Ovis aries: one gene and its partner. The protein of the gene in region 1 interacts with the protein of each later gene in a pairwise test. Links are inferred from orthologs where the notes say so. Each region holds a gene or a part of one and is shown on either strand. Other genes may lie near its edges.

The links. The genes of interacting proteins can lie anywhere in the genome.
Region 2: the proteins of XRCC4 (region 1) and APLF interact in binary tests that used the Homo sapiens proteins (3 or more experiments, as listed by UniProt). The link is inferred for Ovis aries from reciprocal best matches to the Homo sapiens genes XRCC4 and APLF.

The regions. Positions count from the first base shown.
Region 1 is NC_056058.1:80,503,227-80,507,283, reverse strand, and holds the start of XRCC4 (DNA repair protein XRCC4), read right to left. Parts: upstream 2,809-4,057; 5' UTR 2,740-2,808; intron 1-2,739. Other genes in the region: TMEM167A (protein kish-A), read left to right, coding at 3,034-3,036.
Region 2 is NC_056056.1:39,874,383-39,878,568, reverse strand, and holds the start of APLF (aprataxin and PNK-like factor), read left to right. Parts: upstream 1-1,380; 5' UTR 1,381-1,601; coding exon 1,602-1,697; exon of another isoform or gene 1,698-2,014; intron 2,015-4,186. UniProt on the Homo sapiens protein: Histone chaperone involved in single-strand and double-strand DNA break repair.

The DNA.
Region 1 (4,057 bases):
TTTACCAGCTCGGCCACCAAGGAAGCCTAAGAATATTGGAGAATATCCCTTCTTCAGGGGATCTTCCTGACCCAGGAATCAAACCAGGGTCTCCTACGCTGCAGGCAGATTCTTTACCAGATGAGCTACCAGGGAAGCCCATTGAGTGCTTGCTGCTGCTGCTGCTGCTGCTGCTGCTAAGTCGCTTCAGTCGTGTCTGACTCTGTGCGATCCCATAGATGGGAGCCCACCAGGCTCCTCTGTCCCTGGGGTTCTCCAGGCAAGAACACTGGAGTGGGTTGTCATTTTCTCTCCAACGCATGAAAGTGAAAAGTGAAAGTGAAGTCGCTCAGTCCTGTCCAACTCTTTGGGACCCCATGGACTGCAGCCTACCAGGCTCCTCTGTCCCTGGGGTTCTCCAGGCAAGAATACTGGAGTGGGTTGCCATTTTCTCTCCAACGCATGAAAGTGAAAAGTGAAAGTGAAGTCGCTCAGTCCTGTCCAACTCTTTGGGACCCCATGGATTGCAGCCTACCAGGCTCCTCTGTCCATGGGATTTTCCAGGCAAGAGTACTGGAGTGGGGTGCCATTGCCTTCTCCATTGAGTGCTTGAAATGAAGTGAAGAAGTGAAGTGAAGTTGCTCAGTTGTGTCCGACTCTGCGACCCCATGGACTGTAGCCTACCAGGCTTCTCCAGGCAAAAATACTGGAGTGGGTTACCATTTCCTTCTCCAGGGGATCTTCCCAACCCAGGGATCGAACCCAGGTCTCCCGCATTGGAGGCAGACGCTTTAACCTCTGAGCCACCAGGGAAGCCCCATTGAGCGCTTTGTGCAGGTCAAATACCTGACAATACTAGGGAGGTCCATGCCTTCTTTGCACAGAAAAACATAAATATGTACTATTTTTACATATAACAGTATGTAAAGTATATAAAGTATAATAGTATTTCTTACTGAACCTAAGAAATCAAAGTTGAAAATACTCTTCTAGATGCAGGAGAGGCAATAATTTTTGAAGAAGGAAATTACAAGAACCAGATTTCACTTTTAGTGTGTATGAAAATGATCCAAGATAGTCTGAAATAAGATTCCATACCAGAGCTGCTAGAAAAGAGATTTTTGATATAGCAATGTAAGACAGTGCTTAAATTAGTTCACTGGCAGTGAAGCCAAGAGTAGGGAGTTCATGTGCTTAATGACCATATATCTCAATTACCACCTTCTTAGAGATCTTGCCAAGAGATCGTGTCAGATTAACTTTGTTGTGTTACATGAAAAACTTTATATATAAATGTATGTTCAGTCTTATCTATTGCTATTTGGCTTCCTCTATGGGTAACTTTAAAATAACTGGCATTGTTCTTCCCTATTTTGAAGCTGAAGTACATAAGAGCCCATGGTCTAAAATTAATTAAAATTCATAAATACAGTAAATCAACTGTGATTTTTAACAACTTCAATTTCCTGGTGCACTTCAGCTATCACATATAACCCTCAAGTGTCCATGTAAATGAAGACAATCTACATGACAGCAAGATGTTTGCAGACACATTTACTACTTTGGAAACCAAGCTTGATGAGTTGCACAACATAATTTCCATAACCAAGCCAAGATTATTTAATTTGAATGGTTAAGACTTTAAAAATATATTGTAAAGCAATCACAAGACAAAGCATTACAGCTTGTTTTTTTGATAGGACAAGGTTACAGTATATTTTTATACATTTCTTATTCCCCTCTTCCCCATGCCCATAAAATTTCTGGAAGGAACAGGCCATCTTTATCCCTCTGCAGCAATCTCATGATGGTATGAATAAAAGCTCAGTTAAGTACTTGCTAAATTTGTGTACTTAACCAATTCTTGACAATTCAGTAGATTCAAACAAAAAGTTAGTAATGGTTTAAAAAAAAAGAAAAAAGAAAAGAAAAAAACTTGGTGGGCAGTAGCCAACAATACAATCACAGATAGTAGAAACCCAAATATTGTAATCACTGTGTTGCCCTAAATATAGAAAGGTCTCATAGTTTGGCCAAGAACAGCACATAAATCAATGCATTATATGAACTTCCTTTCCTGTTTCTCTCAATCCACTTTGAGTCAAAGTATTAAAAAACTGATAATATTCTAAAAAGAATCTGGGGAGAAGGAATAGAACCTATCTAATGGGATTGTTAAAATTAGAGAAAGTTAAATAATAATACTGATTAAAAGAAAAAGTTGGTATATGTCTTGCAGGTGGACCATTTCTCTAAAGCACCTAATCAATTACTGAACTCAGGAAAGGCAGCTCCTTTCCATTTGTTCCCACAGAAAGTTCTTTCCTGACTGCAACGGGCACCTTTCAGCCTCAGATCGAACCCACTGACAATCTACAAAACGCTGAGAATTAAAAGCGAGAATGCCAATGTTAGAAAACTGATCAAACACCTTCTCAACACAACCCCCTGAATTCAAGTGTCCTAATCCCACAGCTTTACAGGGCATTTCAAAGGCGCTTTACACAAAGAATCCCGCAGGTGCAAAGGGAGAAACTGAAAAGGGAGCCCAGGCGATGCACGACATGAGGGTAACGCCAGAGAACTCAGGTGCTCCCCAGTGTTTACAAACAGAAGGGCCAGAAGCTTACACATCGAGGGGAGTCTAAGCCGGAAAAAAATTGAGCGCGGAGGAGTTCTAGAGAAGTAAAGAAAAATAAAAATAATAATAACTGGATCGCCGACTACTATTAAAAGTCAGTCGCCACTTCCGGACCCTACCTGTTAGTAATTCCACTTCCGGCCTCCTCCGAAAGGCCCGCTCCCACAGGCGGACATCCAGCACCCAATGAGAGTGTTACCTACTTCCGCGGGGGCTGAATGACGTCATTTAAGTCCCGTCCTTTCCGGAAGAGAGGAGCCTATCGTAGAGCCCGAGACCCGCGCCTCAGGAGGAGGTACCCTGACAGGCCCAACCAAACCGCGGAAAGGGAAGAGAAAGGCAAGCCGGCCGTGCACGCCTCTTCCGCCCTGGGCCCGGAAGGGTGATGTGGCTGGGGCTCCGCCGGCCTCACTATGGTAAGAACCGGGGCTTTGGGGTCGCAACTGAGCTTTGTGCAGGGGCTGCGAACCAGTACAAGGGGTGGAGGGTTGAGTGGCAGTCCCCGGCCGGGGAGCCCTGTCGCTAACTTGACTCTCCTGGGGCTCAGAGGGAGAGATGGGCCCGGGAGCCATGTGGCCACTGCACGTCCAAACTGGGACAACCGGAGCCGACAGCCCAAGAAAGAGCCTCAGGGCCGCAGAGCCCCTCCTCACACGCAGAGGCTACTTTAATGACTTGTTTCAAAGAAATGCGCTGGTTTGGCTTAACCCGTCGTTACTTATTCTTTGTGGTTATTTTCAGGCTTTAGAGCTGCCGGATTTGCGCGCTTGTTGTTTTGCGGTTTGTTATCTCATTGCCGACCTAAGCCAGGTGTTTCATTGTTTTCAAACAAACTCGAGACATGCCACCTTAATTTTGACTTGTTGAATTAATTGGCCTTTTAGGTCTCTCCAGCTCCATTCTCTCAACTCTAAAGATGCTACTTTATAAGCTGTGATATAATCACTGGAGTTGTCTGTAGAGGTGGCTTTTCTAGAAGCTTACTGTGCTTGGAGTGGTTTCTGGCCTCGGGTCTTCCCTTCCATACATTATTAAGGTTTCCTGTGTTATTTTGTCTTATTGCAGATTCCTTTAATAGTTTGGGCCTCTTGGAGAAGCTTGAAATTAGCTTGAATAAGTTCACAAGAGAAATGTTTACTTCTCCAAGCTACGAAAAATACATAAAACCAACGTGGACGAAGGACAGATGAAATAATCAGTAGTAATAGCAAAGATCTCCCAAGCTATGTCTGCAGGCATTTCACCTTTGTCACGGTAAATGCTAACAACCTCTACACTGGGCCCTCCCCATGAATTTAGGAGGTCTATATGCCAGATGTGTTTATGAGGAAAAGATTCGTGCCTTTTATTATAGTATCAAAAGCAGCCATGACAAAAGCTTTTCTGCAGTGAAAAGTTGTTGAGCTTACGTTCCCAGAAGTTCCTGCAGAATCCCAT
Region 2 (4,186 bases), on another chromosome or scaffold:
TTCCTTTTATAGCGAGGGGTGTTGGTGCAGGAGGGGTTTCAGATACAGCTAATACTTCATTTATCTTAGCTAATGACAAATTTCCCTTTCTACATGTGCTACTCACCTATATGTTTCTAAACCTGCCAAGACCACAGATGCTCCCGTTCATTTGGTTATGATCCAAGTTGGCTACAGTGGTCAGAATTTTAATGTCTGAGTTCAACAGAGGATTTCCTCTTGAGAGTTTAGGGAAGTAAGAAAGCAAACTGCAAAAAATAAGTTCATAAGTCAAGTTTTTGCACTTCCACCCTCTGCTGCTGCTAAGTCACTTCAGTCGTTTCCGACTCTGTGCAACCCTATAGACTGTAGCCCACCAGGCTCCCCCGTCCCTGGGATTCTCCAGGCAAGAACACTGGAGTGGGTTGCCATTTCCTTCTCCAATGCTTAGCCCTCATCAATATAAACTAAAGCCAAACTACTCTATTCTTGAAAAGAATATCATACTAGGAGAAAGTTACTGTGCATTTAAACGCACATTTGTTATTTTTCCTAAGATTTCACTGGAGATAAAATACGTCCTCCTGTTACAATTATTCCACACGAGGCAGATGAAAGCATTTGGATTTAACAGATGGGGGTGCCTAAACCCCACTAGGCATTTTTCTTCTTCCAAGTCCCATTTTGCCTGGATGTTTAGAAACCTATCCTCTTCTTTCTAAACCAAACTTTGCTAAATTACCTAACTAGGTGACAGGTCACCCCTCTTTCAGGTGTCACTCGGAGGGAGGAATAGTAAAGCAGGGCAGACGCCCGGCTCTCGGGGTGCCTCCACCCCAGGCAGACACTGCAGGCCGGAAGGAATGACCCCACGTCCCATCTGAACCACCCTCCTGGCATGCCCGGCGCCGACAGCAGCTGTCGGAGTCCAAATACCTGGGCATTGACAGGTAAACAATAACAACTGTCAGCACCGACTGTCACCACAGCTCCGGTCGGCCAAGCAGAGGCTGTGCGAGCGCCAGGGCCGAGCCCCGGATCACGCCTGCCAGACCTCAGCGTAAACGGAAGACCCCCTCCTACCTACTTGGCAGCTGCTACCTCTCGATCCGCGATTTAAATTGTCCAGAATTCGAATCCTTCCCTCTAGTCCCCTTCTTCCCACCCACTCTAGCCCCGCCTTGCTGACTCGGATTTCGCACAGGCGCAGAGAGGGGCGCGCATTGCCTCTTGGGATTGGTAGTTTTCCCAGGGCGCCTGAGATCGTCAGTGGAGGAGAAGGGAAGACGTCTTGACTACAAGGACCGGCGTCCTCCGAGCCGGGTGGGCGGTGAGAAGGGCTGGGGTCGCGGGGTTGGGTAACCGGGGCTTTTAAAAAACAGATTGGAGGCGGAGTGAAAGGGGATTCCCTGAGTACGTCACTGGCCGGAGTGGAAGGGCGGGGTTCGGTCCCCTCGGTGGGGCCCCAGCTCCGCGCAGCCGGGGCACTCTTGAGGGCAGTCTTTGCTTTACCTCCGCTTGTCTTTCTTGGGGCCTCTCTGCGTCCCGCGCCTGTCGTTGGAAGCCGGAAACGGTTGCAGGGTCTCGCTCCTTGCGAAGGGGTCTATTTAATCCTCGCCGCCATGTCCGGGGGCTTCGAGCTGCAGCCGCAGGACGGCGGCCCCCGGGTGGCCCTGGCGCCCGGGGAGACGGTCATCGGCCGCGGGCCGCTTCTGGGAGTAAGTGTGGCGGGGGTTCGGCGGCCCCGGAGAACCGCGAGGTCCTGCGGGCTCCTGAGGCCCTACTCTGGGTCCTGCCCGGGTTCCCCACCGCTCCGGCCAGGCCTTTCTGGATTTTAGAAGTTTGAAGGCAGCACGCTTTTCAGTCAACTTGAACTAACTCGCAGACGTTTCCTTCTGCTGCCTTTAACAAGCACTGACCTGGATTATCGTCATTAGTGTTTTACCCAGAGGTCGGCGAACTGTGGCCCTGGCTCCAAATCCAGCCTGCAATTGTTGGGACCCACGTACTAAGAATGCTTCTCAGATTTTAAAACGTAAACAAAAAAACCCATATTAGCCTTTCAGGGAGAAGAATTTCTCTAAGGGTTGGAAATATTGCCTGTTGGCTTGATAAGCCACGATATTCATAGTAGTTTCTGGCCCTTAACAGAAAAAGTCTGCCAACCTCTGATCTTAGTTTTTCTAGAATAATTTCTTTTAAGCTTTGGCTCCTCTGGTGGTACTACTTTGGCTTTACTTTTATTGTAATAATCTTTTTCAGTAACGTCAGTGACTCACGTTTATGTAGTGTGTAGAATTCGGGCATTGATCTAAAGACTACCTGTACCAGCTTCTTTAAACCTTTCCAGACTTTTTGAGTTAGGTGCTTTTATCTTCATTGTTCAAATGAGAAAATTGAGCGAGTTATTTAAAGGACACACACACAAGATTTTGGGTAACAGAGTGCAACTGAGTTATGTATTCTTTCTCTGAGGTGTTTAGGAGTTAGAAAACTTGCCTGTAACATTCTGGAAATTTGTAGATCTCTCATTAAATACATACATATTGTTTTCTCTACATTCAACGTGTCTTGTTTACTGGCCACTTTATGCTGCGAGTCTGCAGACCCTAGCACTGCGGGGCACACAGAGATAAAACGGGTACTTGCCCTTCAGTTTTCTCTTTGAATGTCTGAACAAAGCTGTGTCAGTGAGCCTACACCAGGGAGTAAGGAGTCTGGTCAATTACTCTGATTAACTGCCAGTGTCTAAATGGAACCATTTGTATTAGGCTTAGGACCCCTCTCTGAGCAGAAAAAGGAAAGGTGGTTCAAGGTGGTGTTGGGGAAATTAGTTTTAGAGGAGTGTGAGTGTATGTATATGTAGTGGGGTTATTGAGAAACTTCAAGTTTACTTGCTGTTTTTTTTTTTTTTATTACTTAAATGTGTCTTACTTTTCTCCATAGTCTATTATATACAACGGAGAAGGCAATGGCACCCCACTCCAGTACTTTTGCCTGGCAAATCCCATAGATGGAGGAGCCTGGTGGGCTGCAGGTCGCTGAGAGTCGGGGCACGTCCGAGCGACTTTACTTTCACTTTTCACTTTCATGCATTGGAGAAGGAAATGGCAACCCACTCCAGTATTCTTGCCTGAAGAATCCCAGGGACGGAGGAGCCTAGTGGGCTGCCGTCTCTGGGATCGCACAGAGTGGAACACGACTGAATCGACTTAGCAGCAGCATTATATACAAACCTTTGGAGGAACTGCTTGGGAGGTTTTCTCCCCCTTTTCCTTCCTTTCTTACTCCCCTTCGTCCTTTCCTCTCCTCCTTCCCCCTCTATTCCTAATTCTCTCTCCCTCCCTACTCTCTCTCTCATTTCATCTCAATTAGAAATAGAGTATCTGCTTCATCTAGAAATCTTATGTCTGGTTACTAATGAGTTTTAATTTACTTAACAAATCGTGTAACTAACGTAGAGTACTATGAATTGGGTTAAATGATGGGTGAATTTTAGGCCTCTGTTTTATAAATTTGGCACCAGGTCACAGACCCTTCATTATTTGTAGCTTGCTGTTTGTTAATAGGTTTGCTAATGTGAGACAAGCTTATTTGGTTTCTGTTTTTAAAAATGGTAAGGAATAGGAAGTCAGTTACCTGGTCAGGATTAAGCTTTTTCTCTTTGAATAGTCATTCGATGATGAGATTTTGTTGCCAAGTTTGATGGGTATTAGAAGTGAATGAAACTAGATGTGTTGAAGGAAAACTTTGAAGAATAAACGAATCACCTTGTGGTTTTCAAGATTTTGGAGCTGACAGGTGTTTCTTCTCTACAGTGGTTTAAAACTCCACATGAGGGCTGCAGTTTCAAACAACAGCAATTCCAGTGAGGGTTTTTTTTTTTTTTTTTTTCCCTTCATGGTATATGAGAGAGCACAGACATAGTTCTAAGTCAGAAAACTCAGGGAGTTTAATTCATATCTATCAGAAGTGATTAATAATAATCAGGATGATTATTTTTACTCTCTTAATTAGTCATGTCTTTTGGAAACAAATTTTACAAACCTTCATGGTCACAACCTTTATGTTTATAATTCCAATGTGTTAAACATTCTCTGTGGTAAAATAATTTGGCAGTGGGAATGTCTTCATGTTTTTACAGAGGGGGGAAAGCTTAGAACTCTTGTAGATAATAGAATACAGTGAAAATCAATTTCTCGTGCCC